Linked DNA regions of Elephas maximus indicus. The protein of the gene in region 1 binds, or shares a complex with, the protein of each later gene. Links are inferred from orthologs where the notes say so. Each region holds a gene or a part of one and is shown on either strand. Other genes may lie near its edges.

Region 1 (15,435 bases):
CCAGCCAAGTTGACATACAGCCTTAACCATCACAGGTATGGATGAGCAGTGTACATGTATGGCCTGCACAGTTGTAAATTATTCTTTGTTCTCCAAATAGGGCCTCCTATAACTGAAATGTTTTTGTCAATGTCTAAGCCATTTCATTTGTTTATGGTGCTTAGCTGTTTTGTTCAGTTTCTCAAAAGAACTTTCTATTTTCTTTTTGGTGAGTTTAGAAAAAGCCCAGTTAATTTTGACAACAGTTTTGTGACTGATCCTTGGATAAGGTTAAAAATTTCTTCCATGATTTTAATACCAGAGTCAGACCTCCATTACTGTATCTAGAATAATAGGAAATGCTGCTTTTGATCCTCAGAGTATAGATATAGGCAGTCCCTGAGTTACAAATGAGAGCTGTTCCTAAGTGTGTTTTTTAATTGAATTTGTAGGTAAGTAGGGACCAAAAAAAAGTTTTGTTTTTTTTTAGGGACAGGTACATACATTTCTTATTTAGCCTTATTTTAGGGCAGTTTTACCCTGTCCTATAGGATCACTATGAGTCGGAATCGACTTGATGGCAACATTTTTTTTTCTTTTCAGTACAAGAAAAGGCTCGAAGCCTTTTCAATGATTTAAAATCTGCACATTCAGCAAGTGAAGGTGATTGTGATGAAGAATTTTTTTTAGGGGTTGGTTCAATCATTTCAAAGTGAGGGCAAATTTATGTAATAGTAAAGGGCAAGGGCAGGTACTGTCTGTAAGTCAGACATAACCTGGTGACTGCCTCTATGCCTGAATTGTAATTTAAGAAGACTTTACCCAATACGGGGCCCTGGTGACACAGTGGTTAAGTGTTTCGCTGCTTACCAAAAGGATGGCAGTTCAAATCCATCAGCCGCTCCTTGGAAACCCTATGGGGCAGTTCTGCTGTGCCCTGTAGTGTCACGATCAGCTGAAATCAACTCAACGGCAACAAGTTTGGTTTGGTTTTTTGTTACTCAATATAGCTAAATGTTCACTATAGAATCTAGGGGTATTCACTGTATAATTCTTTCAACTTTTCTGTATGTCTGAAAATTTTCACAATAAAATATTGAGAAAAACACAGAAAAGAAGGTATTGTCCTGCTTCGAGGGAATATTTGTTGACACATACCTAATGAATTTGCTTTAATTAAGTACCAAACATTGAAAGGCAGAAAATACTTTGCAACTACTCTTTGGCATGGGTCAATGAACATGGTAACTTACATAACATTTTAAATATGCTGTAGTGCTTTCACTTTAAAATTGCAACTGGTTTATACTAAAACAAATTTGGATCATAGTACAAGGGTCCCATGTTGATGTATTGGAAATAGGAATAAATGTGTCAGTTGGTATGAGTGAAATTTCATGCATGTCCAATCCCCTTAAGATAATGTATAGATAGATATGCAGCAAGAAAAAATTTGTAAATTTGAATTACTGTCAATTACTATCTCTTCTCTTCTGGACAAGATTGGGTTTTGTTGATTTTGAGAAGAATCAGGCAGGAGCAGACCCGCCAAATTGAAGGCAAAGCCAAGGAGGAATTGATGGAGAAGTCAAATGTTGTGTATGGGAAGAGGAGAAACTCATGTGAGTGTTGAATGCTTAATTTTGGGGAAAGAGTTTGTCAAGTGCTAGAAAAGATTATATAACTCTTCCCAAAAATTTGATTTCTGTCCCAAAGCAGTTTCATGCTGCAGGGAGCAAAAAATCCTCAGTTCTTTCCTTGGTTCCATTGAGCCAAATGGCTTGCTCAGATGCTCCAAACATCAAGCTAGAACTTAACAGAGGATTGTCTCCGTGAATCAAAATGGATTTTAACATTATTTTTCTTTAAACTAAGGCAGGAGCTAATGTTTTTATTATGTCTTTAATAGTATAGCTGATTGTAATTTTTCAGCCCTGCTATGTATTTTAAAATGCATTATTTTTTTATTAAAAATGTTATGTTTATGTATATATTTTCATATATACCTGCATGAATTTGAGAGATTTGTCTAACTGTAACTGAAGGGGTATTTCAAGAAATAAATAAAATTGACTATTCTTAGTAATATAAATAAGATGACTGCAAGTTTAGGAAGCAAAATTAATTCTTCCTCTTGTGCCAGCCCATGAACCTTTGTGCTTCTGTAGAAGCATCACCTAGGACAAGTCCTTGGGAGCCTTTGGTTGTCCTACCTTGTCTGTCGTATTAGTAACTGAGGTGGGGATGAAAATCTTAGGGGCTGGATGACTATAAATGTCCAAGAGGCTGGAGACAAGTCAAGGTGACGTTTGGAAAGACTGACGGCCTGCTCTTGATCCTGTGTCCCTGGAGCTGAGCCTGCTGCCTGCCCCCTAAGCCCTTGCTTGTGCCTCCTGCCCACAGTAGCCACTCCACATTACTCCTACTGGCTCTGAAGTCCCAGGAACGTTGAGAACAAGGGATGCTCCCCTGGTAAAGAAACAAACAGGTTTTGGCCCATGGATCCACTCTTTCTTGTTAACATCCTAGGATGAAGTCATTTAATCTCACTGAGCCTTGCTTTCCTCCAGCCTTGTCTGCTCTTTGGACTAAGAGTTTCTTAGCCTCAGCACTATTGACATTTTGGGTCATATGATTCTTTGCAGTGAGAGACTCTCTGGTGCATTGTGGGAATATTTAGTAACATCCCTGACTTCTACCCACTAGATGCCAGTGGCACACCTCCCACCTCACCCCCCACAGTTACGATAACCAAAAATATCTCCAGACATTATCAAATGTCACAGGAAGGGGAAAAGTGCCCCCAGTTAAGAACCACTGGGCTAAGATGACTTCCAAATATTACTAAAACTTTTCATTTCTTTTTGTCAGGGAGATTCTTTTTACTAGAGTGATTGTGAGGATCAAGTGAGAGAATTCATAAAAGTGCTTTGAAAAAAAACTATGCAACTATTCAGCCTTATATTGCTATTTTTCATTTAAAATACAGCATAACATTTAGGCCTAGGATGACGTAGAGACTCCCATCCTCCAGAACCACCCCCCACCTCTCCTCTTCATCAAGACAGTCATCTTTTGGGGGGCTCTTAGCCTGGATTCCACAGAACCCAGAAGATAGAGCTGCATTTTAATATGATTGGTTTCCTCTTTATTCTTATGTATTTTATTTTCTGCATTTAGAAGCATTACTCTGAGAAGGGGTCCACAGGTTAAGAATTAACCAAAAAAACTTGCCAGTCAGGGAATTTCATAGAGTGTTGACAGTAGAGGAGTTTGGGCAGAAACTGAGCTGAATAAGACATACCTCTCGAGTCAGTGTACCCAACTTCTGGCTGGTTCCATGATACTCAGGGTAAGGCTTAGTCATCTTTGCTGAACCACAGAAGTCCAGGTACCCTTCTGTAACCATTTTTGCTTCCCTACACCAGTGTACTGGTGCTAGCCAAATAAGCTTACTCATCAGGCCTGGGTCCAGGGTCAGGCAACTAGGTCTTTGAAGGTTGTCTGGACAGACCTAGAGGTGTGAGGATAGCTCTCTAGTGCATCTCCCTGGAGATGGCAGAGGTGCCAGCTCTCCTAGGAGTGCTGAACATGTGAATATGTAGACTGGGCTTATGGTGTATAACTGGTAGATGTCTACAAAATAATATTAATTAACTCTTGTGAGCACCTTGTGGAGGCCAGGGATGCATTCAGGTGTTTATCTCTGTTTTTTTGCGTCAGCTGTGTGAGGTAGGCATTTAGTATTCAATTCTGTAGGTGAGCAAACAGATGGTAACAAAATACAGTTTCTCAAATCACAGAGGTCAAGAGCCCATGTTCTTTCTACTATTTTATGCTGCCTGCCAGTGTTGTTCAGGTTCTGAACTTTGGAGAGAGGGCAGGGAATATGCCCTGAGGCCTGTCTTCAAAAATCTGTGCTCCAGTTACAAACTCCCTCTGCCGGAATACCATAGAACCTGATGGGCCACGGACGATCTGTATGTTTCTTCAGGCTCCTCTGAGTTAAAATAACTGGCATGGGGCAGCCTCCCACAAACCCATGTCATCAGCCCCAGAACCAGCAGCCTCCATCGTGAACCCACTCCAAACCCCAACTGTGTCCCTTACAGGCTGATGGAAAATCAAATCTGGTGGGAAATGGGCAGCTACTTCTCAGATATCTGGAGAATGAGTGTGGCTACTATCCTCATGACCACAGTGCTGATAACCCAAGATGAATCTAACCCCAATTTTTTAAAAAGAGAAAATATATGTAACACTCCTAAGACACATACATATATTCCACTCATAATATTCTCGGCTTTGGAAGCCAGTCACCATGATGGCTTAATAAGAGCTGGTATTGAGACACAAATGACTGTTGGAGGTAAAAGTACAGTTAAAGCAGGGGTCAGACATTTTTGTAGGCTGTTTCCAAGCCCTTGGTATTTATTGAAAGGGATCTTCTTATATGCTCCAGCAGCATTTACTCCATAATCTATCTTCATTGCACTCCCCCTTCCAAGCCAATTTTAACAATAAAAAAATTCCCAAAGTGGGGAATACAGAAAACAAGGGATAGATTAATTTTAGAGCTAATTTCTCCTAAGAAAGAGGGAGTGTTTAAGAAATCATCAGATAATGCATGTCTTTTTCATCTCTCCCCTCTCCCCATTTTGTTCTGGCAAATGTATATTTTAAGGCAGGTGCTGCATCTGTGAAGTTGCTTTTAGTAAGTTAGGAAATAAACACACTGTGGAGGGGAACATGAGGGCTGTTTAATACCACAGGAATGGACATGCTATCATGAGGGTCATTTAATACCACAGGAGTGGACATGCTGGCTCAGTTCCCTGTGTGCAGGATGGGTGTTCACCCAGCAAAGCTGGTGCTTTTCAACCACGACCACCATGCTTCACTCCAGAGTTCAGAAGCATCTTCTGTAGAGGAAGAAAGGCCCGTGTTCCTCGTACTCAAAGCGGTGGACCCACAGTGGCTGAAAGCCCTGGAGCGAGGCAAGGATGGAGCCACCAGTCCACACTGCAGTGTCTCTTTCTGGCAATACGTTAACCTGGGGCGAGTCATTGGGACACATGCTGCTCAGCTCCTTCTGCAGGCGGTTAGGGAAACCACTGAGCATCGTGCTGCCCCCGCAGAGCAGGATGTTCCCCATGAGGTCCCGTTTGAGGGCAACGTCGCATTTGTTGAGGCAGGACACAGTCTGGGTATGTAGCCCCAGCTGCATGGACTTGATTAGAGATGGCCTGAAGAACATCTCTGAGCAGAGGAACCTTTCTTGGCACAGCTGTATTTCCTGCCCGTCTGGCAGAGTATACTGGATCATGTGCTCAGTAGATGGTACTTTCTTCTCTTCGATAGGGTCCAGGGCCGCAAAGCAGCATTTCTTTTTGATGTCCTCCACAATGCCCATCTGGTCCTCTGTGAAATGCTTCCCCGAATTGTTCATTAGGTTCATCAGGTAAGTTGTCAGGTCAGAGCCTGCATAGTCCAGCCTCCCGGTGATGCTAGGCAGAGGATAACCCTCGTAGATGGGGACCACGTAGGATACACCATGGCCAACCTCCACCACCAAGCCAGAGGTCCTTCCGTATGAGTACATGGACAGGCGGGACTGGTAGGCTATGTGCATGGCGGGTGTGTTGAAGGTTTCAAACAGCATCTCGGCATACTTCTCTCGGTTGGTGTGAGGGCTCAGGGGGGGATCTGAAACCAAGACCGCATGCTCCTCTGGGCTGATCTTCATCTCTTGTCGGAAGAGATATTCCCAGATATCCTGCACTGAATCCCAGTCCACAATGATGCCATGTCGCAGAGGATTAATTAGCTTGAGACGGACCTCAGGATTGAGGAGCTCATGCCCCACAAACGTCTCTTTGCGATTATCCCCGGTTTTGGCTGTCTCCATGTAGGGCTTGCCCACTGTTGATGAGATCTTGTGAGTGGGCTTTGGCAGGCCAGCAAAGCCACATTTGCAGTACCCAGTGCCCAGGTCCACTACCACTGCCTTAGTTGCCTGTAGCTTAGGCCTCTCCTTGGCCACTGTGGATTTAGTAGGGTCTTCTGGCTTTGAACTATTGCAGCGAACCCACACTGCCCGCTTGGCCGGGCCGTCCTTTAAGGAGGCAGTCTGGAGGGCCTGTGTCTGTATGGACATCTGTTCATTCACTTTCTTGGCAGGCCCATCCCCAATCATAGCCACCTGTGGAGCCCACACACTGTCAAGAGCCATCCTGCTCTCAGAAAGCTCCTCAATCCCACCAGCTTCAAGGCCTGAAAGGCCTAAATCAGAGGGTAACTTCAGAATCTTCCCAAAGATGACATCACTGATTATGACATAATCCAGTGACCCAGGGCTTTCTAGATCCCGGGAAACTTTGTCCTGTATTAGGATAGATTTGGGGTGGTGTTTGCGAACTGCCTTCACCTTTCTTTTTCTAAATTTTGCAATAAACCTCATTCATTCAATTGAGTAATATTTATTGAGTACCTGTTACATCTAAGGCAGCTAGGAATACAGCAGTGACAAAAAAACAACTCTGTGCCCACGTAGAGCTTACACTCTAGTCAGTGAGGGTTGGGCATCAGGGGAAACAGACAACCAAAATAAATGTATGTTAGAAGGTGTTAACAGGGGCCTAGCAAGGGCAGCAAATGCCCAGGGCTAATCTCTAAATTGTAACCCTCCCCCTCCAACTTTAAGAAGAATAGACATTGATAGCAGTGACAGCAGAAATGCCTTCCCCCCTCTTGTCTGGCTGCCTCAGGCACATTTCATATTTGTGACACCTGGGAATGTCATTTGGTACCCTCCTGGACTTGTGCCTAGGGGCAAGTGCCCCTTTTCGGACCTCTGTCCTCGCTACACCTCTGGGTGCTAAGAGCTAAAGAGAAAAAGTAGGGAAGGATGCTAGGAAGGGTGACAATGTTAGTGTGGCCTGAGCAGGGCTCCCTGAGTAAAGACCTGAAGGAGGTTAAGGGACAGAGCCCCGTGTGTATCAGGGGGAGCAGCTTGTGCAGACACATTAGAGCAGGGGCCAGCAAACTGCAGCCCACAGGCGGAATTTAGCCTGCGGCCTGTTTATGTACATAAAGTTCTATTGGAACACAGCCACGCTCATTTGTTTGCCTGTTGTTTAAGGCTGCTTTCACACTAAAATGGTAGATTTGAGTTCTATAGTCCGGAAGCCTAAATGCAAGATGTTATCAGGCTATATTCCTTCTGAAGCCTTCAGGGAAAGTTCGTTTCCTGCCTTTTTCAGCTTATAGAGGCTGCCTGCATCCCTTGGCTCATGCCCTCTTCCTTGTGTCATTCTAACCTGCTTTTACCTTCTTGCCTCCCTTTTATAAGGACCCTTGTGATTACATTGTGTCCACTTGGATAATCCAGGATAATCTCCCCATCTCAAGATACTTTTGCCATGTAAGGTAACATATTCAGAGGTTCCAGGGATTTAGGATGTGGACATTTTGGGGGCCCATTATTCCACATGCCTCACACCCTCTTACATCACCTGTGTACCAACTTCACTAAAGCACTCAAAGCCATGCTCTGTTGCATGTGCTCCTCCTCCCCGATTGCCCATGCTCACCCTCCCTACCCTTCCATCATTGTGGGAGGAAGAGGTGGGCCAGTTTAAGGCCAACCCCTCCATCTAGTAGGTAAGGCCTATGAGTACAGGGATGCTCAGGCCGCACCCGCACATCTTCTTGGGTAATGCCAGTGGATACTTTTCAGTCCTCTTACTTGACCTCTCAGAGATTCATGTGCTTGAATGCTCACTCCTAATTGAAGCTCTCTTTCCCTTAGCTTTCATGTCCTCTTTCATGTCTCTTCCCCCTCCCTGGGTCGACATGTAGTTAGTAGTGTCAATGATAGAAGAATACAGAGATTGTTGGCACACTACACCCAAAACTGCCACTGCCTGGCACGTACCCCCTCCACCACCTTGTCACTAGCCATCTAAGGTGTTTGTGGACTCTGTGGGGTCTCTGGGGAGGACCCTTAGGTAGAGACAGTCTATATTACTCAGACTACTTGGGCCCCATTTTCTTCTGAGATCACACATACTTTTGCTCTTCTGGCCCAGCACCAAAAGAGCTGCAAAATGGCCCTTTCTTGAAAGTAATCCTGGGCCTTCCTCTGTAGTAGAGAAAGAAAACCTGGAAAGACAGGACTAAGAAACATGTTTCTCCCTGAGGTGGTATCCTTGCTCCTGACCTTGGTTTTTAGGATACTCTTCTTGACCTTTGGAGGAAAGGTGAACTAGGCCACTGTAATTTTAGCAGCCATGGGAGGGAAGAAAGAAAATCTAGTGAGGAAAAGGCCAATGCATAGCATTTCTTCTCATGAGTTACCTGGAGTTTTTCTTAAAAATTCAGATTTCTAGATCCCAGCCTTATCTCATCAGAGTATTTAGAGTCTAGGAATATTTAAGCCTAGGAATTCGGCTCTTCAATGTATCAAAGTTCGAAAATCAGGAACTCCCAGTGGAGAGAGGTTTCCTTGCCGAACAGGCACTTTGAATCTCTTTGTTCTTTCCCAAAACTCAGGTCCCAATATGATAAGCCAAGTACCAAGCCTGTGCCCATTTTCCTTGAGGTAGAAGGGAAAGGAACTCTCTTCAGAGGGTAGACTCAAATCTGAGTCTAGCTGCATTCTCTTCCTCATCTCTAGACCATCTCTAGACAGCCTCATGGTCTATTGGCATCTCTAAGACAGCACACCCTAAATGGAACTCATTATCTTTCCCTATATAGTTGCGCCTCTCCCTGCAGTCCTTATTTCTTTGAGGGACACCACCATCCACCAAGTTGCTCAAGTTAGAAACCTGGAGACTAAGAATAGGGATCAAGTTGGTGAGGGGGCATAGTACCATCGTAATCAGATTCAACTAATGTTTTGAGTAGTTTAAGGATCATACAGACAATGAATAATGAAGCTACAGATTTGAACTCAGTCCTTCTGAGTTAAGTTCCTTGCTCTTCCTTCCATTCTGTGCTGTCTTTCCATAAGGAATGGAAGAGGAGTAGGCTCACAGGAGCCCAGTCCTTAAATAGCAGAAGAGCTGTCACACGGAACTAGCTTGCCTTGCACAGACTCAGAAGTAAACACAAAACCAATTAGTGGCTTCTTTAGAGAAGTACAGATATTGTCGTGGATTGACTTATGTCCCCCAAAAAATGTGAGATGAGAGGGAAGCTAGCAGAGAGTTGGAGACCGCATACCACCAAGAAAGCAGTGCCAGGAGCAGAGTGCGTCCTTTGGACCCGAGGTCCCTGCATGAAGAAGGTCCTGGTCTGGGGAAAGATTGATGAGAAGGCCAACGGAGAAAGAAAACCTTCTCCTGAAGCTGACTCCCTGAATTAGAACTTTTAGCCTACTTTAAAATAAATAAATAAATAAACTTCTCTTTGTTAAGGCCATCTACTTGTGGTATTTCTGTTATAGCAGCACTAGATGACTAAAACAGGTGTCAATCCAATATGAGGAAGTTTATTACAGCTGGCCAAATGTAGTGGGCTGTCTATGCCAGATTACTGGGTGGAATGTTCTAGAGGGCATTCAAGTGTCTAATCCTCAAGGTTTATTATTTTGTGATATCACCAATGAAGTTTCTAGGTTGATGCTCATAATTGTAACCCTTATAAAGTTATTCATATAATCCAGTTTCATAGCACCATGTTCCAAGAAACAATTCAGCAAACAAAAATTCCAGAATAAATTCTTCATTAGCCTTCTTACGTGGTCCACAGCAATATTTCTTAACTACACCTCTCTTTTCTTTCCTGTTCATGTCCCCTAACCCGTCAGTTACTTCTGCCCAATTCTCCCACAAAACTCCTTCTGCCCCAGCTGCTCCTCTTTCCATTTTTCTCTTAGTTCTTCACTACCAAAGCCCTAATCTTTTTTTTTTTTTTTTTTTTTTTGCAGAGGGGAGCAGTTTGGGATGGAGGTTCCTATGGGAACCTAGTGAATTTATTCCGTCTGGGTGACAGGTCATCTTTGCTTGGACAAAGGTAAAGGACTCATCCTTCCCTCTCCCTCACTCCCCGCATCTAATTTAAGTGTAATGGTCACAGGTGCCCAAGAGGGAAGGCCTCGAATGCTAGGAGTGGAAGCTCAGATTATACTGAGGACAGTTGGAGGACTAACTGGTTAGAATAGATTCTGCCTTCTAAGCTTCTCTAGAACCTGTCCCTTCCTCTCTTCTACACTACCTACCTCAGGCCACCTTCAAGTCTTGTAAGGATTTCTTCAAGGGCTCTCAGCTTCTAGTCTTAGCCCTCTTATCCGTTCTCTACATTACGGCCAAGGACAAATCTAAAGTATTTTCAGGTAACAAATCTGACTACTTCCATGCTTCAAGTCTTCATTGGTTCCTCAACTGTCCTCAATTTAATCCAAACTTTTACTTCTATCATTTGAAGTCCTCCTCCATGGGTTCCTGTGACCTCTCTAGCCTCATCCATTGCAGTACATTTCTAAATGCCCCCCCCGCCACACACACACATTTGAACTTTTGCTCAGGCTGTGCTCTCTGCTTGGGATATCCTTCCCTGCTCTTAGAAACTTAATAAACACCCACATATCTTTCAGTATTAACTCCTTGTTATGGATTGAATTGTGTCCCCCAAAAATGTGTGTTGACTTGGCTAGGCCATGATTCCCAATATTGTGTGGTTGTCCGTCCACTTTTTGTCATCTGATTTGATTTTCCTATGTGTTGTAAATCCTTCCTCTGTGATATTAATGAGGCAGGATTAGAGGCAGTTATGTTAATGACACAGGACTCCATCTACAAGATTAGGTTGTATCTTGACTCAATTTCTTTTGAGATATGAAAGAGGGAAGCAAGCAGAGAGACAGGGGGACCTCATACCACCAAGAAAATAGCTCCAGAAGCAGAGCATGTCCTGTGGACCTGGGGTCCCTGTAGTTAGAAGCTCCTAGACCAAAGGAAGATTATTGACAAGGATTTTCCCCTGGGGCCGACAGAGAGAGAAAGTCTTCCCCTAGAGCTGGTACCCTGAATTTGGACTCCTAGCCTCCCTGACTGTGAGAGAATAAACTTCTCTTTATTAAAACCATCCACTTGTGGTATTTCTGTTACAGCAGCACTAGATAACTAAGACAGTCCTCCTTGAGTGTATCACCTCCTCTCTAGAGAATCTTCTGACAGCCTCCCCCAAAATAAGTACTATCTTCTTATGCACCAAATAGACTTCGACCTTCAAATTTATCTGCATTCATTCTCTCTTCTGCCCACCTCGACTGGACACTGATTGTGGCCAGAGCCTCTACAATCTATCTCCAGCTGGCAGGACTGGACTGCGCCCACTTCTGGTTTAGTAAATGTTGAATAAAGTGATGAGATCACTGTTGAGGCACTCAAGCACTTTAAGGAGGCCTGATGCATAGGCGATGAACAGATTTGGGTTAAAATTCCAGTACAAATACTGCTCAGCTGTTTGCTCTCGGGCAAGTCATTTGAGTTTTGAGCCTCCATTTCCTCAGATCTGGCTACCTCCCAGGATTCTGTGAAATTACATATGTGAAGGACCTGGTACAGTGCCTGGCTTACTATAGGAGCTTGAAAGATATTTATCCCCCTTTGTCAAGAAGCAGAGGAGGAAAAGGTGTTCAGTGAACAAGGCAGGGCTTTGAACCAGTTTGCTCCAGTTCAAACCCTTGCTAAGAATTTGCATTTCTAACAAGTTCCCAGGAAGTTATAAGTAAGAATTACCTGGGGATCTTGTTAAAATGTAGATTCTGATTCAGTATGTCTGGGGTGGAAATGCAAATTCTTAGCAGGGAACTTGTTAGAAATGCAAATTCACAGCAGGGGGGTTTGAACAGAAGGAAAAGGTTAGAAACCCTGGAACAAGGGTTAGGAGTGGGGATGGAAGGAGACGGAGGAGAAACCTCTGAGAATACAGGGTGTATGGATTTCTGAAACTATGCCGGCCACTGTAGCAACTCAAGTTGGAGTGGGGGTGGGGGTGGGGTGGGGGGTGGGGAGAAGAGATCAGTGGCCGCCAAGACGGAGCCCTTCCCCCAGCTGCCTGAGTGGACCAGCCCCAGTGACATCACAATCCTGAGTGGTTGCCAAGGCACTGCTGGAGGTAAGCCTTCTCATTTCTTCCCCCGGAACTCTGGGATGTGGATGTGAGAAGGTGAGCAAGGAAGGCAGATGGCGACAAGGAACAGTCCTAGCCCCATGGGCGCAGCTCAGGGTGACCCAGGAGAGGCAGGAGCATTGCCAGGCTATGATGCTGGCATCCGAGACACAGGTTCAGCCGCCCAGCTTAAAGTGAAGCCCAAGAAGGTGCGTAAGGTCAAGGCGCTCATCATCGACCTGGGCTCCCAGTACTGTAAGTGTGGCTATGGGGGCGAGCCGAGGCCCACCTACTTCATCTCCTCCACTGTGGGCAAGCGCTGCCCCGAGGCAGCCCACGCGGGCGACTCCAGCAAGGAGACCTACGTAGGCCACGAGCTGCTCAACACGGAGGTGCCTCTCAAGCTGGTTAACCCCCTAAAGCACGGCATCGTGGTCGACTGGGACTGCGTCCAGAACATCTGGGAGTACATCTTCCACACGGCCATGAAGATCCTCCCCGAGGAGCACGCTGTGCTGGTCTCCGACCCTCCGCTCAGCCCCAGCAGCAACCGGGAGAAGTATGCGGAGCTCCTGTTCGAGACCTTCGGCATCCCCGCCATGCACGTGACATCCCAGTCGCTCCTGTCCATCTACTCCTACGGCAAGACCTCAGGGCTGGTGGTGGAGAGCGGGCACGGTGTCTCACACGTGGTGCCCATCTCGGAGGGCGAAGTGCTGCCGGGCCTGACCATGCGTGCCGACTATGCCGGGAGCGACCTCACCAACTACCTGATGCAGCTGCTCAACGAGGCGGGCCACAAGTTCACGGACGACCACCTGCACGTCCTCGAGCACATCAAGAAGAAGTGCTGCTACGCGGCTCTCATGCCCGATCAGGAGCTTAGCCTGCCCCTGGAGGAGATCCGGGTCGACTATGAACTCCCGGACGGCAAGCTCATCACCATCGGCCAGGAGCGTTTCCGGTGCTCGGAGATGCTCTTCAAGCCCTCCCTGATGGGCTGCGGCCAGCCAGGCCTCCCTGCGCTCACCGCTGCTTGCCTGGGCCACTGCCAGGAGGCAGGCTTCAAGGAGGAGATGGCCGCCAATGTGCTGCTGTGCGGGGGCTGCACCATGCTAGATGGCTTCCCTGAGCGCTTCCAGAGGGAGCTGAGCCTCCTCTGCCCTGGTGACATCCTCGCTGTGGCTGCGGCTCCTGAGAGGAAGACCTCAGTGTGGACCGGCGGCTCCATTCTGGCCTCCCTGCAGGCCTTCCAGCAGCTCTGGGTCAGCAAGGAAGAGTTCCAGGAGCGGGGCAGCGCCGCCATCTACAATAAGTGCTGAGCAGTGGTGCCCTGACCAGGAAACCCTCGTGGGCAGGCAGCCACAGGCCACTGTATACACATTTACAAAGTTTCACATAAAACTTTAACTTGCATTGTCTCTTGTCTAGCCTGCATTTCTTGCTCTGGTCTGATAGCATAGGGAGGGAGGAGTTGGGCTTACAAGTACCAAGCACTGGGCTGGGGTAAAAGAGAGTGTCACACTGATCCCTCCCCCTTTATATCCTCTTTGAGGGTGACCCTATCTTGGAGCCCAGAGTATGGCTTACTGTTACATTAGCTCCTCAGAGCTCAAAACCAGATTCAACAGCCATTCCATATTGTTTGTCCACTCACTAGACAAAGGAAGATATGAAGACTCTCAGATGAAGGGACTAGCCTGGGTCACATAGTTAAGTGGTGGCTCAGAGACACATAACCAGGTGTCTGATTTCAGTCTCCGTTATCTGTTCTTGCTAAAACTTTGTTATTGCTTGATCACCCCAACCTCCCTCACTCGCCCCCCTTTATTGCCTGCCCCCTTCTCCACGGCAGTCTGCAGATGTGACAATGTGTCTCCTGAGTGTGAGGGACCATTTCTACCCATCAGAGCCATCCCCTCTTTCAACCCTGGTCAAAATTACAGCTATTTTCAGGAGTCACAAGGCAGAATCACTGATCCCAGAGGATGTCAGAGGAACCAGATGGTCCTTCAGTGGTCCTCCTTTTCCCGTGGAGATGGGGAAACTGAGAAACAGAGACGAAGAGGATCAGCCCAACATCAGTGATTCAGCCCTACTCTCCTGACCCAGGTCATGATTATTTCCAGGGTAAATGGTTTCTAATGGTTACGCAGCAACCTTAAGCACTTAACAAGCATCTACTATTGGCCAGGTCCAGTGCTGGAGACCTATAAATTACCAGAACAGTCCCTTCTCTTGAGGTCACATGTAGCTAGTGGGAGATTTAGTGAACAGCCACACTGGTAGACAAAGCTTTCAGGGTTCCTGAGAGTGGGAAGCAGAAGGGGGGTTTATTGGAAAGATGTAAGGGGAGCAGTGCTAGGCATGGGGTTGAGGGAGAGGCCATTGAGGTTTTCAGCTGGTGAACAGCTGTCTACCTAGAAGAGACTGGTTTCTGCCCCTTTTTTTCCACTCCATGTTCCTGATGGACCCATGCCCAGGTGCCCATTTGTCTCTGGGATCCGATGTTGGTGAACTGCATAATCTTGGCTAGATTATCAAATGAACCCGAGCCAACTACCTGGACAAAGAGTCTAGATTTGGGGCACACCATGAGGCTATCTCTGTCCTGGGCCTTGTACTGGAGGCTACGGACTTAAGAACCAGAGTCTCTATTCCCTAATGTCTTGCCATCAAGTTGTTTTCCATCGCCTAGAATTGGGTTTCTAATCTGGAGTTTGTTAACCCCTTGGGCTAGCAGGGGCTTGGCGCCACATAAGAAACTTGGGCTTTTTCCTGTAGAAAGGGGGTGCACACTGGGGGCCCACAGACTGAAGGTGGCCAGTAGACAAGTTTTGTTTGGCTAGCACAGTGTATAAAATTTTTTTCTTGAATGCAGATTCTTTCAGTGGCCCTACGTTTTCCAGGTTGGCAAAGTCCCTACCACTCTGATGTCTTCTTGTGTACCTGTTACTTCAATATAACTTTTGATTAACTGACCAGCATTAGTTTCTGTTGCATGCAACTCAAGAACCTTGACTGATACTGATCCTAAACATCCATTGAAATAGAGAGGGAAACTGAGGCTTATAGAGGGGAAAGTGATGTGCCCATCATCATACAGGAAGTAGGTGCTGACATGTGAACCCTCTTCCATATGCCCATCTTGAATTTCTCTGAACGCCATGCCTGTGTCTATTTTCCTCCTTCCCCAATCTCCTCTTCTCATTCCCCACCTCCTCAGCAACTTCTCTCTCTACAGTCACAGCTTCAGTCCCCTCATCGCCCGGTCACTCTCTTCTGAAAGCATCCTTTGTGTGGTAGGGGCTTTAGAACCATTTAATAAATTACTTA
Region 2 (17,075 bases), on another chromosome or scaffold:
TGTTTTTTTTGGGGGGGGGGTTTAAGGAAGTGCCATATCGTTTTTCAAAATAGATGTATCATTTTGCATTCCCACCAGCACTGCATAAGAGTTCCAATCTCCCTGCAGCCTCTCCAACATTTGTTATTTCCTTTTTTTTTTTTTGATTCACGCCAGTAATGCCGGGGTGAGATGGTATGTCATTGTGGTTTTAATTTGCATTTCTGTAATGGCTAGTGATCTCAAGCATGTCCTCCTGTGTCTGTTGGCCACTCGAATGTCTTCTTTGGCGAGGCGTCTGTTCATTTCCTTTGCCATTTTTTAATTGGATTGTCTTTTTGTTGTGGAGGCATTGGATTTTCTTGTAGATTATAGAGATTAGACCTTTGTCTGATTTGTAATAGCCGAATTTTTTTTCCCAGTCTGTAGGTTCTCTTTTTACTCTTTTGGTGAAGTCTTTTGATAAGCATAGGAGTTTAATTTTTAGAAGATCCCAGTTATCTAGCTTATCTTCTAGAGTTTATGTGTTGTTGGTCATGATTTGTATCCTGTTAATGCCATATACTAGGGCCACTAGCAGTGATCCTATTTTTTCTTCTATGAATTTTATAGTTTTGGGCTTTATATTTCGATCTTTGATCCATTTTGAATTAGTTTTAGTATATGGTGTGAGGTATGGGTCCTGGTTCATTTTTTTGCAGAAGGACATCTAGTTTTGCTAATACCGTTTGTTAAAAAGACTGTCTTTTCCCCATTTGATGGACTTTGGGGCCTAGAAGATCAGATGACTGTAGGTGGATGGATTTACATCTGCATTCTCAATTCTGTTCCATTGGTCAATGTGTCTATTGTTGTACAAGTACCAGGCTGTTTTGACTACCGTAGCTGTATAGTATGTTCTGAGGTCAGGTAGTGCGAGTCCTCCTACTTTATTCTTCTTCTTCAACAGTGCTTTACTTATTCGGGGCTTCTTCCCTTTCCATATAAAGTTAATGATTAGTTTTTCCAACTCTTTAAACAATGTTGTTGGTATTTGGATTGAGGTTGCATTGTATTTGCAAATCGCTTTGGGTAGAACTGTCGTTTTCACAATGTTGAGTCTACCTATCCATGAGCATGGTACTTTCTGCCATTTATATAGATCTCTTTTGGTTTCTTGCAGTAGTATTTTGTAGTTTTCTTTGTATAGGTCTTTTACATCCCTGGTAGATTTATTCCTAAGTATTTTATTTTTTGTTTAGGGGCTATTACAAATGGTATTGTTTTCCTGATTTCCTTTTCATCATTCTCTTTATTGGTGTATAGGAATCCAACTGATTTTTGTATGTTTATCTTGTATCTTAGCATATTAATTTTTGTTTGAATTACATAAATAATTTTTCCCTTGGGTTTTTCATTTCTTTTAACTTTACTTACAGTAGTTTCGCCACAAAGAAGTTTTTTTGATATAATCTGTTTTATCAGTTTTAAATTAACTTTTGGACTTTGAATCAGAGTTAGAAAGAACTTTCCTCATGTATTTTTATAAAGGAATTTATTTATGTTTTCTTCCTGTACTTAAATTATTTTATTTAAATCTATCATCTGTTTAGAGTTTATATTGGCATATGCATAAGAATCCAACTGTATCTTTTTCTAAATGGAGCTACCTTGTTGCCCCAACTCAGAATTGTGTATGTAAGATTCGTGTTATGATTCACTTCAAATGTTAAGTTCCATGTGTAAATATACATAACTTGTCTACTTCACTGATAATAAGCATTTTGTTTGTTTCCAATGTTTTGCTAATATGAATACAGCTATATAAGCATGCTTATACTGGTCTCATTTTTAAAGTCTACAACACTTACTGTCTATCACTTATACCTTGCTTTATAACTGAATTGCTATTTAATGATTTCCTACTATTTACCCACTCTTTTCCCACTAGGGCTTGAAAGAAAGCAGCTCATCTTTCATCTGGGCTATATGCCATATTGACTAGAAGCCCAATGAACTCTGAGTAAGAACTGAATCGAATTGAGTGGAATTAAATTGAATTGAATTAGTAGCCTGCTGGGGGCAGTGAAATGTCACATGCAATTAACAAGAGCAGAAGCAGCAGGATAACACTAATAGTCTGCATATTTGGACCATATGGGTAGATATTTATTTTTAAGGTTACAGAGGAATTAAGTCTTAATGAGAAGCATATAAATCAATTAATTCATTTGCCTTTTAATAGTCTTAGAATTTCTCATGTGCACATGAACACTGTTCTAGCTTCTGTGGCCTATCAAAAGCAGATGAAATATAATGGAAAATTTATTGCACAATTTACTTTTCACAAATCCAAACAGAACATGTTGGCCTTATTTGGCATATTCCTCACTTCATTATTTTGGCTGATCTATTTGTTTAAATGATAGGTATCTAGGGGTTACTACATCCTCTTATGGTAGAAGTAAATGTTATGCCTTTCAGAATGCATTCCAGGCTAGGTTTTTATCCAGGGATTAAAAGCCTGAGTTTCCAGGGAGGAAAATCTACATCTCTTTCAGAGCTGTAATTGACTTTCCTTGTTATCCAGCTCTCACAGCAAGTGCTACACTAAAATAAATAGTCACCAATAGGCTGGTGCCATCCCTTTTTAGGACTGAATTAATTCATGAAAAGTAAATTAGGAGCTTTTGTTCACACTGAGGCTTACCAGAGGCTCATATTTATATTACACTTAAGAGACAATCTTCAAAGTACAACAATTCTATTGACGTAACACATTGAGCTCTCAAGAAATGGAAAACCCAAGGAAAAGCAGTTTAAAAAATGAGATCTTGTGTAAATTTTTAAAGGAAGTTATTAAATGACAATTTAATAGAATAATGTTTTACAATTAAGAAAATATTGCTATTTTACTAAAAAGTAGTAATGCCCCGTTAAGACAAGGGGTTGTGTTGTACTTAAAGGTGGTATTAAAATGTTTGTGAGCATTGAAGCTTGTGGGAACTGTATGACATTTGTGTCTCATACACAAGCCAGCTTCTTTTTTTTTTTTGGCTATACTAAAACACTATATTGCCTACCTACTGGAAAAAAACATAATTGTATTTTTTTTTAAGAAAATAAATTGCTACAATACTTAAATGATATAAGAACTGATGACAGTTGCTTAAATTTGCATGATGCTTATGGTCCTCTAACTACTCACAGAACTTTTCCACAATGATTTTAATTACTGAGTAAAACTAAAAGAGCCCTCTTTGTTTATTCCTAAAAGGTATCATTCTACCCAGGAAGCATGCTGCCATCAAGTATAATTCCACAAATACCACACAGCACTCATGGTATTCATCCACAAAGAAGTATTTGCTTAAACAATGGTGTGAAATTCTCCATCCCAAGACACAGAAGGATTCCTAGCCTATTAATCCAACAAATTCCAGTGCTATAAAGTCTCATACTTTTATTTTACACTCCTGTGTTTTACATCATGTTTTCCTTATTTGCCTGTGAAATTAGTTGCATATATGCTTAGCATCGTATTACCATTTAACATTCACTTGTGGGAGAAATTGACAATATTTTTCCCTTCTGTTTTTACGTCATTTCTAAACTTATCCAGCCATTCCATAGGAATTATTCAGTGTTTTTTTTTTTTTTTAATATGTTCAAGTTAAAATAAAATCTTATTACATTTTGGGGTAATAGTATAAAGTTTTCTTAATCAGATCAAAAAAAGTTTTGTTCCTAGAGTACAAAAATGAATATTTTGTGTCAATATTTGCCCTAAGATAATAAGCAACAGTGGATAGTAACATCTTTGTAACTGATTTTTATGTGGTACTGGTTTCAGTGAATTTTACAGAGAGGCAGGGTGCAGAAAATCTTGTCCAGCTTCAGAGAGCTCCCTTTTCCCTTGTTTTACAAAAAGTTAAAGAAATACTTGCTTTTGGGATTGCCTGACTCGGAAGCCCACCCCCTGCCCCCAGTCTATTGAGTCCTTGAAAAGTGGCTAGAGAGACTGAGAAACAGAATTTAACATTTTATTTTCAATTAATTAATGTTGTTAATTAAAATTTAAATTTGAATAGCCAAATCTGGTAAGTTGCTACCATTTTGGATAGTACTTCTCTGAACTTTTACTTTCCATTGTCTCTCTTGCTCTTAGCCTAGACAGTTTTGATTTTCCTCAAAGCAGTTTCTAGTTGCGGGTAGAAAGGAGCCATGGAGGGTCAGTATTGAGCTATCACGGGGCCTAAATTGCTTCAGGATGAGCCCTGGTGGCACAGCAGTTATATGCTCTGCTGCTAAGTGAAAGATGGGCAGTTGGAACCCACCCAGAGGCAACTCGAGAGAAAAGACCTGGTGATCTCTCCCGTAAAGATTACAGCCTAGAAAATCATTTGGGGCTGTTCTACTCTGTCTTGTAGGGTGGCTATAAGGCAGAATTGACTAGACAGCATACAACAACAACAACAGATTGCTTCAGCCCCTTCAATCTTTACTTTTGTAGTTACTGTTATAAAATTGGCCTGCAGTGATTTACATTAATACCTGGAGAATATCTACATCTCTCTGTCCATCAAACACTGCCCTGGACCTTCCTTATCACCTCCACCATACTCATACCTGGAAACAGATACACGCCTCCAGTATGAGTGGTATCCCTATAAAACAGGAGAAGAGACACAGAGAACACCATGTGGTAACGGAGGTAGAGATTGCAGCTGCAAGCCAAGTAATGCCAAGAATCGCAGGCTGTCACCAGAGGTTAGTAGAGAAGTGTGGAACAGATTCTCCCTCAAATTTATGTAGGTGTTTATATGCATAGGTGTATATATGTGTGTACCTATGAATATATAATTGTCTATATCTCCAGCCCAGATATTTATTTTTACTACTAGACTCAGATCCAATTGGCCTTGTAAAAATCAATATATATGAAACTAAGTTCATAATCTTTTTGAAACTTCCTTCTTCTCTTGTGTTTCCTACCTTAAGGAATGAACTGCATCCACTCTACCAGTCCCCCAAAACTGATTCCTAAGAGTCATTCTAGATTCTTTATCCTCTCTCCTGTAAGCCAGTCAATCAAGGCCAGTATTTTCCACCTCCTTGATATCATTGGTGACTCTTTCTAGCTAATTCATTCTCCAGCCCTATTCCTCTCAATAAAAGAAACACCTTCCAGGTTTTGCCCAAGTAGATTTTCTAAAACGTAATTTTTTTGAAATGTTAATTCTCCAGTGTTCATAGCAAAATGTTCATCTCTTTTTCTTATGCCCTGTCTTAGTCATCTAGTACTGCTCTAACAGAAGTTCAACTGGATGGCTTTAACAAAGAGAAATTTATTTTCTCACAATCTAGTAGGCTAGAAGTCCAAATTCAGGGCATCAGCTCCAGGGGAAGGCTTTCTCTGTTGGCTTTGGAGGAAGATCCTTGTCATCGATCTTCTCCTGGTCAAGAAGCTTCTCAGGCGCAACAACCCCAGGTCCAAAGGATGTGCTCTGCTCCCAGCACTGCTTTCTTGGTGGTATGAGGTCCCCCACGGCCTAACCAAGTTAACACATATTTCTGTGGGACACAATTCAATCCACGACATGCCCTAAGCCTCTCCCACATTCATTTCCTCATAACCTCCCAGACAGGGTAATAGGTGTCTTTTGGTACATTTGGAAGGCTCTCACCAGCCACCACTGGCCCCTTTCTATGAGATCTACTCTACCTAGAAGTCTGAGCTTCAGCCTACATGTTGTCCTACATGGCTCTGAATTGGCACAAGCCTCAGCTGATTGGATTAGAGGTCCAAGCTTATTCAAGCTGGACTAATAAGAATATTTCCTTTGGAGGGGTTGAACCCCCAAACTGGACCTTTTTCTTGAGGTAAGGTAATGTCAACCCACGAACTGAGACTGCTTTTGTGGAATGTGGGGTGTTCAGAAAATAGTCTACAGAATGAAAGAATGAAAGCTGATACAGGCAGAGCAGCAAGATGAGAGAAGACATGGTCCCAGAGAAGGAATACCTTTCTTGGTTCCAGATGTTACCCATTTCCTGGTTCTACTCCCAGATGCATTCTGACCCTTGGGTTTTGCAAGACACCTCAACATCCTTATACAAATGCCACGTTATTGATTAAACTAGCTCAAAAGGGGTTCTATTGCTTACAATCAAAAGAGTTTTAACTAAGACACCTATTCATCTTGCAAGACTCAGGCAAGGGTTATTCCTCTCTAAAGACTTTCCAAACCCTAAAACTACCCTCTCCTTGATCCTCATTTGTGCTTCGCTTTACCTGCAACACTTCACAATTCCTACATGCTTGCCACTCCCATAAAATTTATAAACTACTTAAGAACAGAGGAAAGGTCTTCAGCACTCATTACAGTTCCAGGTACATAATAAAGGTTTAACCTATTTCCCTAATCAAAGACTAAAACTTGATAGCCTAGAGACTGGATTTTTGCTGAACAGCTATTCTATTTAGCCTATGAGGATTGTGTGTACGTGCGTGCACATGTGTGTATAAAACCTAGTATTGTATTTCCTTTTCTAAGGAAAAGAACATCAAGACTGTTACCTAGCATTATCCAGAATATCAATTTCCTCTCTACTTTATTTGATTGAAATATCGGAGTTGGGCATTTATTTGGCTAATGTTTCCATGAGTTTGGAGAGGAGCCAAGCCAAATGTTTATCAAACTGTTCCGCTAGGCACAAAAGGAGATTCAATTATAAGGTAATATCTGTCCCCACAACTTCATCAAGATGGACTTCCCAAGGTTACCAATGATCTTGTTGTTAAATCCAATGGGCATTTAACCTTTATCTACAGTTTGACGTTGTTGACTAATTCCTTCTTTAATGTCCTTTCTTGGTTTTGAGACTCCACTCTTAATTTTTTTTTTCCTGATCCTTCTACTAGCCCTCATGTCTTTTCTGTGCTTCTTTTGCTCAGCACTGCTTAATTGTTGTCTTTGATACTCTTCTCTTTTATTTTGCCATCTCCCAGGCTGATCCTATTTCCATCATGGCTTTCAGTTACTTATCTATGTAGGGTGTTGACTCTTAAATCACCATCTCAGGTCTCATCTCTGAGGTTTATATTTGGATACTTCACATAAATATCCCATAGACATGTCAAACACAATACATTCCAAACCGTACTCATTATCTCCACCATCCCCGAAAAAGCACAACTAAGCAAACTATTTCCTTCATTCTATATTTTCTCTCTTCCTGAACTATTTACACAGACGCTTGCTTAAGCCAGAAACCTATGTCAACCTCTATTCTTTCCTGTCATCAGCTACATGTAGTCATCAAACCATGCTCTACCCTCTAAATATCTCACTAGCTTAACATGTGAATAACGAAATAAGGACTCACAATCTTATCCTCTTAACAAAACACTTATCTACCTTAATTTTGCTTTCTATGTATTTGGCACAGTAATGATTCCAGATAGAAATCACTGAGTTTCAACTTCCATCCTTTGCTAATGATACCTATACAAAGTGATGCTAGAATGGAAAGATAAAGGAGAAGGGAAAAACTGGATGGTAAAAAATGTTTCTAGATTTTTTTCTTAGTGCCATCTCTGCTGCTCCACCAAATAAGGGCCCAAAATTTATGTTACATTTATTTGATGCCTTATTTAAACTGTCTTACTGGACATTTTCCATCTGTTTAGCTCCTAGAAAGAGACCAAATATTTTTGTCATGGCAAGACCTTATGTGCATGTGATCTTACACTGGGCAAACTATGCAGGGGCCCAGTACTTTTAGGATGATTGGGAAAATGAAATAGGAAAGTTTTCCACTCAGTGAATTAAAAAGATCATGATCCATTTTGGCCATCCCATTTTTAGTTTATTAATAGAATAAGTAAAAATGCACATAGTAAATCAATGTCCTGTTGAGCAATGTTAACAAATAGCAAAGGATTGAAATTGGTGGCTAAAATTTTGGATGTTCTTAGTTACCAAATTTCCAGAGGCAAAGTGGAGAGACATCTGGACTGAAATATCTGCATTGTTTGGGATTTTATTTTTGTATTTATTTACTTATTTATATTTTATTTTTTTAAAAGAGATGCACCAAATTAAAAGACCACCTACTGGCTGGTATTTATCATTTTTTTGTCATTACCAGAAAGTGAAAAAAATACTCTTGTTCTCTTTTTCTTAGTCAAAATGCTGTTTCCAGTCCATGCATGCTGTAAACATTATAAAGACTCATGAACACTGTCTTACCACCTGTGATCATTCAGGTTGTGTGTCAACTTGATGGGACCATGATGCTCAGTGGTTTGGCAGTTATGATATAGTTTGGCAGCCCTATAATCACCTCCATGATGAGATCTGCTGTGAGTAGCCAATCAGTCAAAAGGGTGTTTCCTTGGGAGTGTGGCCTGCATCCAATATAGGTCGACTTTCTAGCAAGGCTTAAGGGTTTTTTCTCTTTCTGGATCCTGCATCCTGCAGCTTACTCCTGTTCATCTGACCTTTGGCTCTTGGGACTTGAGTTAGCAGCTTACCTGCTGGTCATGGGATTTGTCAGCCTCCAGTCTGTGAGCTAGCAGTCTACAGTCTGACCTGCCAATCTTGGGTTCACCAGTTCCTATAGCTATGTGAGTCAGGAGAAGCCTCCAGCCTGACCAATGGATTTGAGACTTTCCAGCCTCTATAACTGCATGAACCATTTTCTTCCTTGATATAAATCTCTCTCTCTCTCTCGTGTGTGTGTGTGTATGTGTGTGAGTGTGTGTGTTTGTGTGTAGCTTCACTGGTTTGCTTCTCTAGAGAACTCAGCCTAAGACATCTCCCAATGACCTTAGGTCCCTCTCAGGCCCTCCATTCCCTGCAAAATGAGGGAGGTTAGACTCACTAATCTCTAGGGTCCCTTCCAGATCCAACAATCTGATGGCATGTGTTGTAATGGCTCCAGAATAAAGGAATGGCTTCAGCTCTGGGCTGCAAGGCTGCTGTGATACCTGTGAAACTCTGCTTCATCAAGGCATGAGACACATGAGAAACTTCAGACCATTTCATGGAGTAGGGACAAAGGGCAAACCTGTACTTGCAAAGGAATGGCTCATAATGTCTCTGCAGTGACTCACATTATCCCTACTTTTTGAACAATTGAATGCTCATAAAACCATATACCTATCTTTATTTATGATAAAACTGTTGAAATAACATTCTCTGCCAGTGTTTTGGGGCTATGGAGAAAAGCATTTGAGGAAATGCCATCTCCACAACCCAGCAGTGAAATCGTTGTTGACTGCCCTTCAGCTGATTTTGACTCATAAAGACCCCATGTGACAGAGTAGATTTGCCCCATAGGGTTTTCTTGGCTATAATCTTTACCAGAGCAGATCATCAGGTCTTTCTCCCAGAATGGGTTGGGTGAATTCGACCTGCCAAACTTTTTGGTCAGCTGCCAACCGCCTAACCATTGGACCACAGGGCTCTTAGGAGCGATATTGTTGTTAGGTGCCCTCCAGTGGGAGCGACGGTAGGCACAACAGAACAAAACGCTGCCCAGTCCGGTGCCATCCTCACAATGGATGCTATGTTTGAGCCCACTGTTTCTTCCACTCTGTCAATCCATCTCATTGAGGGTCTTCTTCTTTTCCTTGACTCTCTAGCTTGCCTAGTAGTTAAATTAGGGCCAAAGAATATGCTCACGCTCTTGTCTTTCTCATTGCTCTGAAAATCAACCAGGAAGCTAGTCCCGGAGTAAATGCTCCCCGGACAGAAATCAAAGGTGCCCGGCAAACATAAGTACAAGCTGGCAGGATGGAAAGGGCTCTCGTCCACCTTCAGCTGAAAGACAGTCTGACCCCAAATCTTCCTGAGTGAGCGGGCGGAGGCCCAGAGTATTCGCGGAGACGAGGTCGGGGCAACCGGGCCAGCTCCACAGACCCCGCCCCCAAGAGGCCCCCGCCCCCAGGAGGCCCCGCCCCTCACCTTGCGGGCGCAGCGGCCCAGCCGAAGGTGCGTGCGGCGCTCCGTGATTGGCCGCGGCCCGCGATGCCCGGCTGCGATTGGCTGCCTCGGCCTCTTTGTTCCCGGGGCCGGGTCGCAGGCCGGCTGCTGCGGGCAGAGCGGCGGAAGTTTGACGGCGCCGGCGAGCGGCTGCTGCAGGGGCTCGGGAGTCCCCGCAGGTTTCCCCAGTGCCCGCGCCGGGCCTCTACGTCAGGTCCGCACGGTCGGAGCGAAGCCCGTTGAAGCGCAGCTATGGACCTGGAAGCCCGAGTGAAGAAGGTAGGGGAGCTCCGGCTGCGGGCAAGGCTGCCTCACCTGAAGGCGGCGCCGCCCCCTAGATGCCGGGGGCGGTCGGGCGTGCGGGCGGCGCGAGCCGGGTCTCCGGGTCCCAGGTGCCCACCCTCCGGGGGACACAAGGTGCCAGCGGGCTCTCCCCGCCTCCGAAACTGGGGCGGTGGCGAGTCGGGAGCGCGACCGAGCGCGGGACATTTCCCTGCCGTCTGACCACTGCCCGGGGGCTTGAAGTGCTGGAAAAGTTTCCTTAAGGTGTTTCCACTGCTCTGTGCCTCCCTAAAGGGGAAGGGTGAGGTCAGGGTGAGGCCGGGCGGGACCGTGACACCGCTTCTTCCTGTCTCAGGAAATTCAACTTTAAACCTTTGTGGTTTAGGGGCCTGAATCCGGCTTTGACAGCTCAGACCTCCTCCACTGCCGGCCGCTTGGCCCCCCGAGACTGTCTACAAGGAGTGCTGATTCCATACACTTCCTTCGCACCCGTGGCTGGCTGATAACTTGAGGGTTTTTTTTTTTTTTTTCATTTATTACTTGACTGCCAAGGCACTGCCTCCTTCTTAGGGAGTTATCTCTCAGAGAAAACGCTCTCCCTGCCTGACAGCTTCCCCAAACAGCCTCTGGATCACCAGTGCCTTAGCGCTTGGAGGAGTTTCCAGCCTGCTCTGGGGCGTCAGGACCGACGGCTCTGCCTGAGCCGCTCCGTGACTATGGGGAGCCTCAGGTCCTCAGGGGGAAGTGGGTGGGCACCGCACTGTGACTCACAAGGAATGCTGATGTCACATTCCAGGGCAACGTTCCCTATGAAAGGTCTCATTCTAGGGAATTGCGCATATTTACTTTGCAGTAAATTTAAAAGGAGAGTCTCTGAGTGGCGCAAAAGGTTAGGCGCTAGTCGAAAGGTTGGCTTTTGGAACCCACTAGAGGCGCCTCAGAAGACAGTCCTAAGGCTCTGCTTCTGAAAGATCGCAGCCTTGGAAACTCTGTGGAGCAGTTCTCTGCATCCTTGGGATGGCCAGGAGTTTGAATCCACTCTATGGCTACTAAAAATAACAAGTTTAAGCTAGCTGCCCCTAATCAAATAGGAAAGGAAGTTTTCCAGAAAAAATGAGGAGGATAATACAGAAAACTTAGTTTTCTTTCTAGTTGCCAACTTAAGGTTGTCGATATTGTTGTTATTCCATCTTCTAAAGATGCAGTTCCTGACTTGAGCATTAATGCACTTTCATGATCCATACTGGACTATTGAAAATGAACGCAGATTAGGTTAAAAAAAAAAAAGAAGCAATAAATATTTGCAATGGGAAAACAGCTCATTCCTAGGTTCACTGTGAGTCTCAGTAGACTCGACGGCAGTGGTTTTGGGGTTATGACTAAAACCGGTACTCAAAAGGGAATCCAAGGACTGGAAAACAAAGTAAATTCTTCACGTAGTGTGATTAACTGCAGTCCTTTATCTTTCTGATTGGTTTCTTATTCTTTTATTTGCTTTGAAGTAACCCTGATATTTTTTGTTCATCATGCTTGGCACTAAGGAAAGCATTTTGCTAGCCTTCTGTTGATGAACACCACTCTCATTTTGTTTTTCAAGTGGGTAAGAATAGTAGTTGTCAAGAGTTCTGGGGGTCTTGACTGTGCATATAAGTATTGATTTGAAACTGCTTCTTAAAAGTCGACCTCCAAAAATGATTTTGAAAGTATTTGAGACAAGAACAAGTAATCCTGCGGGGAAAAACCCAAAGGTAAGAATTACATGTGCTTGCAAGAGAAAAAGCCAAACATTATCTGTAAACAGTTTCCTTAAACTTTCAAAATGTGGGTTATGATGAATAAATATAATGCCCTTGACACTTGATGTAATTTTTCTTCTCCATCACCTTTTATTTTAAAAGATTTTTTCAATGAAGAATGTTATCCTTCTCTCTAATCCTCCCCAACCCTGGAGAAAAGGGTTCCATAAACTTAAAGCTTTTACAGATAATCCCTTGACAGGACAAACCCTTGTTTTGTCACCTCTAGTGATTCTTAGGGCAGAGTCCTCAACAAGTAAATTGGAAAGTACTAAAAGATCCCAAAGAGCTCCAATTTGACTGCCAGTCATACCCTCTTTTTGCCTTTGGAGAGTCCTCGACAGACTTTATGATCTGTGGATTGGAGAATAAGTTTCCCTGTGCAAAAGAGTTTGGAGATCCTGCCCCCAGAAATACATTTCACGATTTTAGCCATAATCTCAGAAAGAAACATGTATCTGCTTTAGAAATTGTTTTCCAACATACCTGAAGAAGGAAACATCACAAAATTATCCCTGATCTACCAGCAGAGCCCTCTTACCCTATTTAGAAACCTAGTTTTCAAGCCTCTGGGTTTTTTTTTTTTTTTTTAAACTCACGTACACAAGAAAAAGAATAGTTTCAATGTACCTTGAGAAAAGCCAGCTTGGAGATTGGAACAAAGACACACCACTTGAATAAAGCTAAACATGACTTCTGTTCTGAGATACATGAAATTTTTTTTCTTCTAAAATTCTTACATTGTTGATTTCATAAGGAATTTTCCCTAGGCAGATGAGAAATGTTACTTTATTTCCACTAACATTTTGTATAAAAAGAATTAAAGAGGTTTGTTTTTATTACACAGCGACCTAGGTGGATGATACTATTATAGGATTCTTGGGTTATAAAAGAAGAACTTGATATCTACTTTGTACCACTTTGGATTAATTACCAGTAAACCCACTATCCCAAAGACAAGGGATTTTTATAATTTAGATTTTGCTCTATTTTTGTTTTGTTTGAAGTAAGCAAGCTGTTGCAAGGAGGTGGGAGATAGTTTGGTTATACAGAGTTTTTGTTTTAACAATATTTTAGAACAGAGTTTGACTTTCACATCCTTGGTCTGTCTTCTGAGGTACTCATCTAGACCCCTTATGCCTTAAGTCTCTTCACTGTAATTGACTTTGTCTAAGTGGAGCCCATGTATGCTTGGAAAAAACAATGGCCTTTGAGAAGCAGAAACAGTCACACTTTGTGGTGAATGGTAAGTCATGGCCCACAGCCAGCTGCTTTGCTCTTTCCTTTCTGTGTTATTCTCTCAGGAGAACCACTTTTTTTTTCCCCCGCTCTCTTTCTCCTTAAACGCATACCAGAGAGAAAGAACTCCAGTAATTTCTCTTGTACTGCCGGAATTGCTGCAGGGCTTTTAATTTCGTACCTGATTCATTTCTTGCCTCCATTCTAACCTCTGTTTTTTGAACCATTCAAATATCTTGGCATGTTTTTCTTAGGACTCTTTTTTTTTTTTTCCTTTTTTAAAAAATGACAAGCATTTTAAAGATTACAGGTCACTAAAAATCCCCTTTCTCTACATCCAAAGCTTGTTTTAAAAGCTTCTTTCATTAGCCAAAAAGCCATAGTAAAACCAAATGATTGCATTTGGAAAGAAGACTGAACCACAATTATTTCTTTGAGAAATTATTTCCATGAGAAATTAGAGTGAGCATCTTTTCTTAGATGGTCCCTGATTGAAGCTGAAAGGGCAAGTAGAGGGAGACCTGCATGCGCAAATCTACAGGTGGATTCTCTGCTTCAAGTCATTTTTGCTGTGGGAATCATTGTCAAGGCCAGGGGAAAGAGAGAACAAGGTATGTTCAGGGCTTTGTCTTAGCTGCCTGCCTCTCAGAACAAATAGAAAAAAGTGAAGTGGTCCGCAGCTGGACTTTTATCTCTCGTAACCCATTACATTGACTGGATATGAAACGTCACTTCCTCTTAACTAGCCCTGAGTGTTGATTTGACTAGAACTCTAGTAGGTTTTTGTGAGTTTCAGTTTTTTTTTGTTGTTGTTTGTTCCTTTATGTTATCCTAAGAAATGGAATTATTTTTATTGTTAGATGCCATCAAGTCAGTTCCAACTCATAGCGAACCCATGTACCAGAGGATGAAACACTGCCTGGTCCCGCGTCATCCTCATAATCATTGTTATGCCTGAGCCCATTATGAACGCTACTGTGTCAGTCTATCTCATCGAGGTCTTCTTTTTCACTCACCCTCTACTTTACCGAGCATGATGTCTTTCTCTGGGGACTGCTCCCTCCTGATAACATGTCGAAGGTATATGAGACATAGTCTCACCACCCTTGCCTCTAAGGAGCACTTTGGCTCTACTTCTTCCACGACAGATTTGTTCTTTCTTTTGGCAGTCCATGGTATAGTCAGTATTCTTCACCAACACCATAACTCAAAGGCGTCAATTCTTCTTTGGTCTTCCTTATTCATTATCCAGCTTTCGCATGCATACGAGGCAATTGAAAAAACCATGGCTTGGGTCAGGCGCACCTTAGTCCTTAAAGTCGCATTTTAGCTTTTTTGACACTTTAAACAGGTCTTTTGCAGCAGATTTGCCCAATGCAATGTGTCATTTGAGTTCTTGACTGCTGCTTCAATGGGCTTTGATTGTAGATCCAAGTAAAATGAAACCCTTGGCAACTGCAGTCTTTTGTTCATTTACCATGATGTTACTTACTGGTCCAGTTGTGAAGATTTTTGTTTTCTTTATGTTGAAGTGTAATCCATACTGAAAGCTGTAGTCTTTGATCTTCATCAGTAAGTGCTTCAAGTCCTCTTCACTTTCAGCAGGCAGAATTGTGTCATCTGCATAATGCAGGTTGTTAATGAGTCTTCCGCCAATCCTAATGCCATGTTCTTCTTCATATAGTCCAGCTTTTGGATTATTTGCTCAGCTTACAGATTGAGTAAGTATGTTGAAAGGATACAATACCAGTGCATTTCGGCTCACTAATGGCTAAGATATCAATGTTTATGCGTTCTATTTCTTTTTTGACAATTTCCAGTTTTCCTAGATTCATACTTCATGCATTCCATGTTCCTATTATTAATGGATGTTTTCAGCTATTCTCATTTTGAATTGTGCCACATCAACAAATGAAGGTCCCAAAAGCTTGACTCCATTTAATTCATTAAGGTTGACTCTACTTTCAGGAGGCGGCTCTTCCTCAATCGTATTTTGAGTGGCTTCCAACCTGAGGGGCTCATCTTCTGGCACTATACCAGACAGTGTTCCACTGCTACTCATAATGTTTTCACTGGCTAATTTTTTCCAGAAGTAGATCGCCAGGTCCTTCTTCCTAGTCTGTCTTAGTCTGGAAGCTCCACTGAAACCTGTCCATCATGAGTGGTCCTGCTGATATTTGAATACCAGTGGCATAGCTTCCAGGATCACAGCAACATGCAAGCCACTACAGTACAACACTCTGACAGACACATGGGGAGAAGTAGAACTAGGGATATATGTTTCTACTATATTAGTACTGTTGCCTCACCCCATTCCTTTCCTTTGTTGGTACTCATACTCCACTCTATCTACAATCCTAAATCTTACCCATCCTTCAAGGACCCCGTAATCTCCTCTGGAAAATTTTTCTCTGTGTTCCCAGCTAGATGCAAGATCTCTTTCTCCTGAATTCCTGATGCATGTTATCTATAATTCTTATGACACAGATCACACCCCCCTGTGGATTATAGTTCCCTTTGTGTATATTTCACATCCTTACCTAGACTGCAGGCTTCTTGAGAGACAAATTCGTATCTGATTATACTTGCATAGTTTGCAGTTCAAAAAGTATTATATGTTATTTCTTTTGCTGTTCAAATCCATCTCATGAAGTAGACCTTAGCCCCATTTTTAGGATGAAGAAACTAAGGCTCAGATTGATTACAGGCATACGTCAGAGATATTACGAGTTCCAGACCGCCACAATAAAGTGAATATCACAATAAAGTGAGTCACAGGAATTTTTTTATTTCCCAGTGCATATAAATGTTGTTTACACTATACTATAGCCTATTAAGTGCAATAATATTATGTCTAAAAAAAAGCAACGTACATACCTTAATTAAAAAATACTAACCATCATCGGAGCCTTCAGCGAATCGTAATCTTTTTGCTGGTGGAGGGTCTTGCCTCGATATTGATGACTGCTAACTGATCAGGGTAGTGGTTGCTGAAGGTTGGGGTGGCAGTGGCAATTTCTTAAAATAAGACAGCAGTGAAGTTTGTCGCATTGATTGACACTTCCTTTCACGAAAGAGTTCTCTGTAGCATGCAATGCTGTTTGATAGCATTTTACCTATAGTAGAACTTTCAAAATGGAAATCAGTCCTCTCAAATCCTACCGCTGCTTTATCAAATGAGTTTATGTAATATTCTAAATCCTTTGTTGTCATTTCAGCAATATTCACAGCATCTTTACCAGGAGTAGATTCCATCTCAAGAAACCACTTTCTTTGTTCATCCATAAGACGCAACTCCTTATCCATTAACATTTTATCATGAGATTGCAGCAATTCAGTTACATTTTCAGCTCTACTTCTAATTCTAATTCTTTTGCTATTTCTACCGTATCTGTAGTTCCTCTACTAAAGTCTTGAACCCCCCAAAGTCATCCATGAGGGCTAGAATCAACTTTTTCCAAACTCCTGTTAATGTTGATATTTTGACCTCCTCCCGTGAATCAAGAATGTTCTTAATGGCATCTAGGATGGTGAATCCTTTCCAGGAGGTTTTCAATTTACTTTGCCCAGATCCATCAGAGGAATCACTATCTATGGCAGCTATAGCCTTAAAAAATGTATTTCTTAATTAATAAGACTTGAAGGTCAAAGTTACACTTTAATCCATGGGCTACAGAATGGATGTTATGTTAACAGGCATGAAAACGTTAGTGTCCTAGTACATCTCCCTCAGAGCTCTTGGGTGACCAGATGCATTGTCAGTGAGCAGTAATATTTTGAAAGGAGTCTCTTTTTTTTGAGCAGTAGG

What was found.
Region 2: the proteins of ACTL7A (region 1) and TES are in contact, whole or in part, in a crystal structure (PDB 2XQN), measured with the Homo sapiens proteins. The link is inferred for Elephas maximus indicus from reciprocal best matches to the Homo sapiens genes ACTL7A and TES. Residues at the interface, in NP_006678.1 of Homo sapiens: Leu28, Gln29, Thr30, Ala31, Ser32, Leu33, Arg34, Asp35, Gly36, Pro37, Ala38, Lys39, Arg40, Ala41, Val42, Trp43, Val44, Arg45, His46; in NP_056456.1 of Homo sapiens: Asn311, Glu312, Tyr313, Thr314, Gln315, Ala316, Glu317, Leu323, Phe326, Leu335, Ala336, Gly337, Glu338, Ile339, Tyr340, Val341, Tyr353, Pro370, Glu371, Val372, Gln373, Arg374, Val375, Thr376, Tyr377, Ala384, Phe389, Leu398, Ile399, Gly400.

What each region holds. Positions count from the first base shown.
Region 1 is NC_064827.1:58,307,933-58,323,367, reverse strand, and holds ACTL7A (actin-like protein 7A), read right to left. Parts: upstream 6,212-15,435; coding exon 4,889-6,211; 3' UTR 4,833-4,888; downstream 1-4,832. Other genes in the region: ACTL7B (actin-like protein 7B), read left to right, coding at 12,174-13,421. UniProt on the Homo sapiens protein: Essential for normal spermatogenesis and male fertility. Required for normal sperm head morphology, acroplaxome formation, acrosome attachment, and acrosome granule stability.
Region 2 is NC_064826.1:33,541,512-33,558,586, reverse strand, and holds the start of TES (testin), read left to right. Parts: upstream 1-10,018; 5' UTR 10,019-10,202; coding exon 10,203-10,229; intron 10,230-13,145; exon of another isoform or gene 13,146-13,271; coding exon of another isoform or gene 13,272-13,274; intron 13,275-17,075. UniProt on the Homo sapiens protein: Scaffold protein that may play a role in cell adhesion, cell spreading and in the reorganization of the actin cytoskeleton. Plays a role in the regulation of cell proliferation. May act as a tumor suppressor. Inhibits tumor cell growth.